Nothobranchius furzeri: one gene and its partner. The protein of the gene in region 1 purifies or fractionates together with the protein of each later gene. This does not show direct contact. Links are inferred from orthologs where the notes say so. Each region holds a gene or a part of one and is shown in the gene's direction. Other genes may lie near its edges. The genes, in order: sost and lrp5.

What was found.
Region 2: the proteins of sost (region 1) and lrp5 purify together in Homo sapiens (affinity purification with mass spectrometry; 3 studies listed by BioGRID and IntAct, counting the BioPlex papers as one, with this or other methods). This does not show direct contact. The link is inferred for Nothobranchius furzeri from reciprocal best matches to the Homo sapiens genes SOST and LRP5.

What each region holds. Positions count from the first base shown.
Region 1 is NC_091756.1:48,613,578-48,617,911, forward strand, and holds the start of sost (sclerostin), read left to right. Parts: upstream 1-1,511; 5' UTR 1,512-1,663; coding exon 1,664-1,907; intron 1,908-4,263; coding exon 4,264-4,334. UniProt on the Homo sapiens protein: Negative regulator of bone growth that acts through inhibition of Wnt signaling and bone formation.
Region 2 is NC_091754.1:40,308,308-40,312,130, reverse strand, and holds part of lrp5 (low-density lipoprotein receptor-related protein 5), read left to right. Parts: intron 1-2,408; coding exon 2,409-2,497; intron 2,498-2,778; coding exon 2,779-2,997; intron 2,998-3,125; coding exon 3,126-3,214; intron 3,215-3,525; coding exon 3,526-3,697; intron 3,698-3,823. UniProt on the Homo sapiens protein: Acts as a coreceptor with members of the frizzled family of seven-transmembrane spanning receptors to transduce signal by Wnt proteins.

The sequences.
Region 1 (4,334 bases):
TCAGTGCCTTTAGTTCCAAAATCAACAGAGATACGTTTTCTGATACTCTCCATTATCCTCCCTGTTCTTTTATCTTCCACCAGCAAAATGTAAAAGGCAAGCAATAATGTTTTAACTCTGTGTGTGTGTGTGTGTGTGTGTGTGTGTTAGTATACAAAATACCTTCTAACCCCCCTGAAAGATTTTAATTAAACCAAAAATTCTTTAATTTAGAAATACATTTTTTAAGTCAGCCTGATTCAGTGGAAGTCCTTGGCTAACATCCATCCATCCATTTTCAGCCGCTTATCCGGGCTCGGGTCGCAGGGGCAGCAGTCCAGGGAGGCCCGGACTTCCCTCTCCCCAGCCACTTGGACCAGCTCCTGTGGGGAATTCTAAAGTGGTCAGCTGAGAGACAAAGTTCCTCCAATGTGTCCTGGGTCTTCCCTGAGGCCTTCCCCCAGTTGGAGGTGCCCGGAAAACCTCACTAGGGAGGTGTCCAGGAGGCATCCTAACTAGATGCTCCTGTCAATGTGGAGGAGTAGTGTGTCTACTCCGAAACCCTCCCAGATGAGTTTCTCACCTTGTCTCTAAGGGAGAGCCCAGCCACCCTGCAGAAAAAACTCATTTTGGCCGCTTGTATCCGTGATCTCGTTCTTTAGGTCACTACCCAAAGCTAAACTCAGTTTTTAACATTTTTTTCAACAACACAATACTTTGACATGACACATGACAGCGCAGCACACTAAAACAGTTAATCATTTACATCAAAGCAGGATCTTCACCTGCAGATTTCTAACTGGACGTGTACATTCAGTTTCATCCTAATTTTAAATGACCAAACGCAGAAGCTACTCTAGTCTAAGATGTCTGAAACTCACACCAAGACAAGAGTGAAAAATCTTTAGAAGGCATTCTTATCGGACAGTTTGCACCTGAGGAATAACACCTACGTATGACTTGCACAGGGACTATGGTCACTCTGAGAGTAAAGAGAGTTCCAAAGGAAGAAGACAAACCACGGGTTATGGCTTTATGAAGCATATCAAGCAGCAGTTATAGCTTACGTACAAGCTGCAGTGGAATCAGGTGTTCACCTTAAAGCTGATCTTTGGAAGATACATTTGCAGGCTTTATAAAATGTTGTACAATCAAGTGTTTGGTAGCTAGGAGTCATCCCATCACACATTCAGTTTAACAGTTTAAACACAACTTCTATTTTTATCTGTAAAAAACGGTTTTTGATCTTTTGAATGAAAGGAAGTGGGTGATATTCAGAATGCTGACTCATCCTTTCTTCATCTCCTCTGACCTTTAACCCACCTAAAAAAATATCTCCTCTCATCCCTATCCTTTCTCTTTTCTATTTTTACTCACTCAGATCCAAGCCCCCCCCCCCACCCCCCCACCCCACCCCCCTTTGCTCCCTCTCCTGCCTTTTCAATGAAAGCGGGCTCAACCCCTCCCACCTCTGACTGAGCGTTTAATTGCACGCTGCAGACGGCATCTTGCTTCAATAAGGCGCGCGCACTGGTAGTGGACGTAACCAACTTTTACGAGTGACCAAGTATCTCCTGTGTGAGTGAGTGTGAGTGAGTGTGAGTGTGTGTGTGTGTGTGCATGTGTGTATGTGTTTAAAGAATAAAGTCGCTCCTCTGGTTTGGTTTATTCGTGCCTGACCAGCATGCAGGTGTCTGTGGCCCTCCTGGTCTCCAGCTCGCTGCTGCTGCTGCTGCTGCTGCAGGGATGCTGCACGGCCGCGAAGGGATGGAAGGTTCTGAAAAACGGTGCCACGGAGATTTTACCGGACTATCGAGAAAACACCCGGACACCTCAACAGGCGGTTCTCCAGACCCCAAACGGAAACAACACGATGAATAACAACAGGGCGAAAGGCGGAGGGAGAAATTCCAACACTGTCTCTTACAGTAAGTGTCAGTTAATTGTCCATTCAATATTTAATTATACAACAAAAGGTGGAAAATGCTGGAAAAGTGCAGGATTATGATCAATTTGTGGAGCTGTGCGTAAAGCATTAAAAGTACTGCTGTTTCAAATTGCGTAAACGCATTTATAATAATAATAATAATAATAATAATAATAATAATAATAATAATAATAATAATAATAACAATAAAGTTCAGTCACTAAACTGATAAAAAATGCATTAATTTTAATAATTACCCCTTTTCCCAACACAATGACTCAATTTATGGTCCAAATATCTCATTTCAGCTCAGAAGACTGCAGGCTCTGTTGTTTTGAAAAGCAAAGACCTGAAAGAGATAATTATGTTGAATAAATCAGGGCTGCTTTGTGAATTTGTGTTCACAGTTCCACATTTCTGCCTGATTTTCACACCACTCTGCTGATTATCAGCCGCTCTGCTGCGTGGAGAGGGATGAGGGTGATGAGAGCGGCTCAGACTCACATTCTTGTGGTTTCTTCCTCAACATTCTGAACCCAAGCGCTCAGAAAGACATCAGGGCTTTTTGTACATTGTCTTCCAGGTTGTTTCCTTTTCTCTTTATGCTATTAGTCAAGCTCTACTTGCTTCGTAACCATTTGATTGCAACAGCATGTCTCCTAAACAGAAAACCCCCTAGTCTGCTCTTCAGCATGGATGTCTATGGGAAGGTGGGGGCTAGAAATAGCTTTTATAAATGCAACGCTGCCTTTGAGAATGATTCCCACCTGGGTTGTAGGTTCTGACTGAACAGCGCATGCAGGGCAGTCTCATGCTCGTGGACTCTGCATGGGTGGTGCAATGGCTTTTGCTTATTTGAGGCCTTTTGATTTGGACTTTAGAGAAGGTGACTGATTAGATTAAAGGAACAGCTGATAAGGGAATTAATGGGCTTAATGTCAGTTATTCTGAAGGATTCTTATCCAAGGATGTGTAATGAGATGCAGATGTGTAAATCTAAAGAATAGTATTCAGATTATTTGTTAGTATCCAAAAGAGGGTTGCTTGTTTTTATAGTAAATACACAGAAAACGTCCCGGAGGGACAGATAATCCCTCCTGGGTCCGTTTTATCACTTGGGCTGAGTCCTGGGATGACCTCTCATGGTTCTGTTTGGGGTTACAGCTGAGACTTTGACCAATTCCTGGCTTTCCTCCAAATCTCCCCAAAGGCTTTTCTCTAAGTCCAGATGGAAATGAACAAGTCACGCAATTGTCCAGCAGGATATCATTCCTCTTAGATAGGAGAACGGGAACTGTCAGTGACTCGATGCAACCTGCTGGGTTCCTTATTTAGGAAACTTTTTACTGATTAGCTTAATGAACTGACCTGTATTGGAATGTTTACTGTGTGAAGAGCCTTGAGACGACTAGTTGTGATTTGGCGCTATAAACTTGAATATACTTGAATTAAATTGAACTGTAGTAGAAAAAAATGAAACACACATCCAACAAAAAAAGCTAACAGTTTTGGATATTTGGTGCAAACCGCTGCAAACTGGGTGCTGTAGGTGGTATAAACAATGTGGACTCTTCAGCAGCAGCACCAGAATAACACCGGGTCAGGTTCTCCCAGTGAGAAAAAAAGGAGAGAAGTCATCCACATAAATCCTTTGTTCAGTTCTTTTATTTAACCTAGAAAGCCACAGAGGGAAACAGATCCCTCTCCGAGTGTATCGCTTCTACACCAACGGCTCTTCTCGTCTTGTAAAAAACACGTGAGAGTAACTCATGCATGTGGCTCTTAAAAAGCTCCATCTTATTACAAACAGCGTTCTTCAAACTTGTCCAGTTGCAGCGCTGCCTTAAAACAACCAGACAGCTATTTACTCCTCCACCACCACATGCGTTTCCTGAGGGTCGGGACTGAGTGCCAGCTTTTCCTCCATCCCAGACCCACATTGGGTTGGATTGAGCTGTTTAATGGCCTTCTGGTCTGGATTTTCTATCAGCTTATTGTTGCCAGCTGTTTTGTGTGTGTGTGTGTGTGTGTGTGTGTGTGTTGTCAGCCAACGATCGGACCATGAGTCAGGTCTGCTCTGATATTATTACCTTAAACCTCCACTTAATTGAACAATTTGCTGTTTTTTTGATGAATTTATTGATGGATTTTTATGTTTTATACTGGTTGGACATAAATTCAGCTTCCAGCTTGGATTTTTTCCCTTATTTCCACACTAATATGATGACGTGAGAGAAATCACTGGAAAGAAGGAGCAGCTGCTGCAGCGAAGTGGTTAAAACTGTAGAATCCTCCACAGTGTTTGTTTTGGGTTTGGTCCACGTGTGCTGACTGTGATATCCCGTTTTTCCACCCAGGTGCCTCGGAGATGAGCTGCAGGGAGCTGCGTTCCACCCGTTACATCACTGATGGATCCTGCCGCAGTGCC
Region 2 (3,823 bases), on another chromosome or scaffold:
CTCTGCTTCCTGGTCTGGACCCTGGGTAGTCATGGAGGACTAATAAAACTGGCCATGTTCCTAGAAAGAAGAGCTGCACCATTCAAAGAGGGATGGATGCCGTCTCTCCGCATCAGACCAGGTTTTCCCCAAAAAGTTTTCCAATTATCAATGTAGCCCACGTTGTTTTCAGGACACCACCTAGACAACCAGCGGTTGAAGGACAGCATGCGGCTAAACATGTTGTCACTGGTCCGATCAGGCAGGGGGCCAGAGAAAATTACGGAGTCCAACATTGTTTTGGCAAACTTGCACACCGAAGCAACATTAATTTTAGTGACCTCCGATTGGCGTAACCGGGTGTCGTTACCGCCAGCGTGAATAACAATCTTACTGTATTTACACTTATCCTTAGCCAGCAGTTTCAGATAAGATTTAATGTCGCCCGCTCTGGCCCCAGGTAAACATTTAACTATGGTTGCTGGAGCCTCTAATGCCACGTTTCTGACTATGGAGCTGCCAATGATCAGAGTCGGCTTGTCAGTGGGTGCGTCACTGAGCGGGGAAAATCTATTAGAAACGTGGACGGGTTGGTGGTGGCCCACGGGCTGGGTTCTATGCTTCCTGCATACCGTCACCCAGCCGGCCTGAGGTCCCGGCTGTTCGGGTTCTGCTGGAGGATCGCTACGGGGTGGTTCTGAGCTAGTCAGCCCCGCGCTAGCGAAGTAGCTACTGCTGTTTACGGGTTTTTCAACAGCGCGGAGCCGGGACTCCAATTCCGACACCCTTGCCTCCAAAGCTACAAAAATGCTACAGTTATTACACTTACCATTATCGCTAAAGGAGGCAGAGGAGTAACTAATCATCTGACACAGAGAGCAAGAGATAGGAGACGGAGAAGCAGAGACAGAAGTAGCCATAGCCGTGCTGAGGCTAAGCTAACTGGACGAGCAAACTGTTCAACACCAAATAAACTGCATGCAAACTCAAATGGTTCCCTAAAAGCTAGGTGGAACAACAGAAAATGTGTGTTTTAACGTGCTTATGTGCTACAATAACTCAGAGATATCCTAGTACAGAGAAATTAAATCAGTTTTAGCGAGCCCCAAACACCAAACAGCTACACGTAGTGCAACACTGAAAACAGGAAACGCCTTACCGCCAGGTGCAGCCAATCAGCCCATTTTAAATCTTGAAGTGTCCTTCATCTCGACTTAGCTGGGGAAGTTTGACCTTTGGGTCACAAATGAGGCCATTCATGTCGCTACACAAGTTACAAATCAAGAGTTACACACACACACACAAATCTAGAGAGACACACACACATCTTTTGAGACTTTTTTCTCACCATAGATCGGCCACCACAGGGACCAGACCTTAACTCTATTGAGAATCTTTGGGATGTGCTAGAGAAGTCTTTGCAAGATGTTGGTGAAACATTAATGCAACGCTGGGTGGAAATAAATCTGGTGACATTGCAGAAGCTTATTGAAACAACTCTACAGAGTATGTGTGTCGCAATCAAAGATAACATGTTAGTGTGTGTGACCTTTTTTGGGTGGCAACTGTTTTGGCCAGGCAGTGTGTTTTATTAAAACAGAAAACTGAAAAGTGAGATGCTCCACTGTGCAGAGCAACCCTTCTGTAGGGAGCGTCGGGTCAGCAGAGGATCAGTTTAGCACTCCTCTTCAGTCTGTGTGAATGAGTCCTCACTGCAGATGTCACAAACACTGAAATACCCTCAAAACACACAAGTTCCAAAAAGTCCAAAATCCAAAGCTGTGATCTATATTCAACCTGGGTCATAAACAGGAATTCCATAGGGGAGGTATAAATCAGGAGCTGGGAAAGCAGAGCAAAGGCCGAAGTCCACAGATCAGATGGGCAGAAAAGATACATCAAGGGCCTAGCAGAGCAGGAAAACCCGGGGCTTAAATGTGGTAGTAGACTGGAATCAAATCAGTAAAAGAATGTTGCAGGGAGGCGGCAACTGAAGCTATAAATAGTGCGGTGTGCAGGTGATGCAGATGCAGGCATGACACAGGTGTGTGTGCGTGTGTGTGTGTGTGCGTGTGTGTGTGTGTGTGTGCGTTTGGGGGTGGGGGTGGGGCGTTACTGATAAAGCAGGGAGAACCATGACACAAATAAAATAACAACAGAGGTGGGCAAAAAAGGCAGGAATGATTTACTGGATTTGTTGGGAGCAGGGGTGGTTGTGGTTTCTGAAAGGACCTAGGATAACGCTCCTTCATGCACTCAGGATGCTGCAGTCAGCCTCTCAAGGAGCTCTCCGGCTCTACATCAGCTTCGTACATGGGGTGGGAGACATCTAACAATGATGCTGTTTTTACTATCCCAGGGATGTTGATGGTTCATCCTAAAGATCCACACAAGTGTTATCACTGGTAAAATGTCTGTGTGTGCTTTAGGGGCAGAGGAGGTTTTGTTGCTGGCTCGCCGGACAGACCTGAGGAGAATCTCACTTGATTTGCCAGATTTCACTGACATACTATTGGAGGTAAACACACACACACACACACACACATACGCGCGCACACACACGCACACACTCACACACATGCGTACACACACTCACACACACACATGCACCGACACACACACACACACACACACACACACACACACACACACACACACACACACACACACGCTTACACTCACACACACACACACACACACACACACACACACACACACACACACACACACACACACACACACACACAATATTTTTATTCCTGTCTAAACTTGACCTAGTCTGTTCCTTTACTCATACAGGTTAATGACATCCGCCATGCCATTGCAATTGACTACGACCCAGTTGAAGGTCTTGTGTACTGGACAGATGATGAAGTTCAGGCTATCCGGCGTTCCCACATTGATGGAAGGAATGCCGTGGTGCTGGTCTCCACAGAACTCAAACACCCAGATGGGATTGCTGTTGACTGGGTGGCCAGAAACCTGTACTGGACAGACACTGGCACTGATCGGATTGAGGTACAGACTGTCATGTCAGTAACTGAACAGAGAAAAGAGCCACTGTTCATTAGAATAGTATAAAAAAGTGTTTGTCTGAACTCTAAAAGCACTGACTTTCACCATAATGATGTCACCTTATGTAATAGGTCACCAGGCTAAATGGAACGTCTCGTAAGATTCTGATTTCTGAGAACCTGGATGAGCCCAGAGCTATAGTGCTGGATCCTGTGAATGGGTATGGTTTCTGTGTCTTTGAACACATACAATGCCACAGCTGTCACTCTGACATGTTTCTGAGAATGTGTTTTTTATCCTGCTTGGTTGAGTTTCCAAACTCAAAAACACTTATTACAGTTCAGACTCGAGCGACCTTCAGGGATGAGCTTTAGTGTCTTGTTGCTAGGTGCAGGCGTTACCTTTTGTAGAAATGGAATTAATGGTTTCATAATTAAAAAATGCTCACTTGCATCACTAATAGATAGTTGTGGTTAACAGAATCTCTAAAATTGAGAATTCTACTTTCTTTTTGATTCATCATCCACACAGTTACATGTACTGGACCGACTGGGGTGAGCATCCCAAGATCGAGCGTGCAAACCTGGATGGAACCGACAGGGTGGTCCTTCTCAACACCTCACTGGGCTGGCCCAATGGGCTAGCTCTGGACAACGCTGCAGGGAAACTTTACTGGGGTGACGCTAAAACCGACAAGATAGAGGTACGCCTTTCGCCATTCTGTGTAAAGTCAGAGTTTGGCTTCTTTGAGCTGCTTCATTTCTATTTTGTTCATCAACTGCAGGTGGCTGACGTAAAAGCAAAGGTTACTGGGAGTTGGTTCAACTCA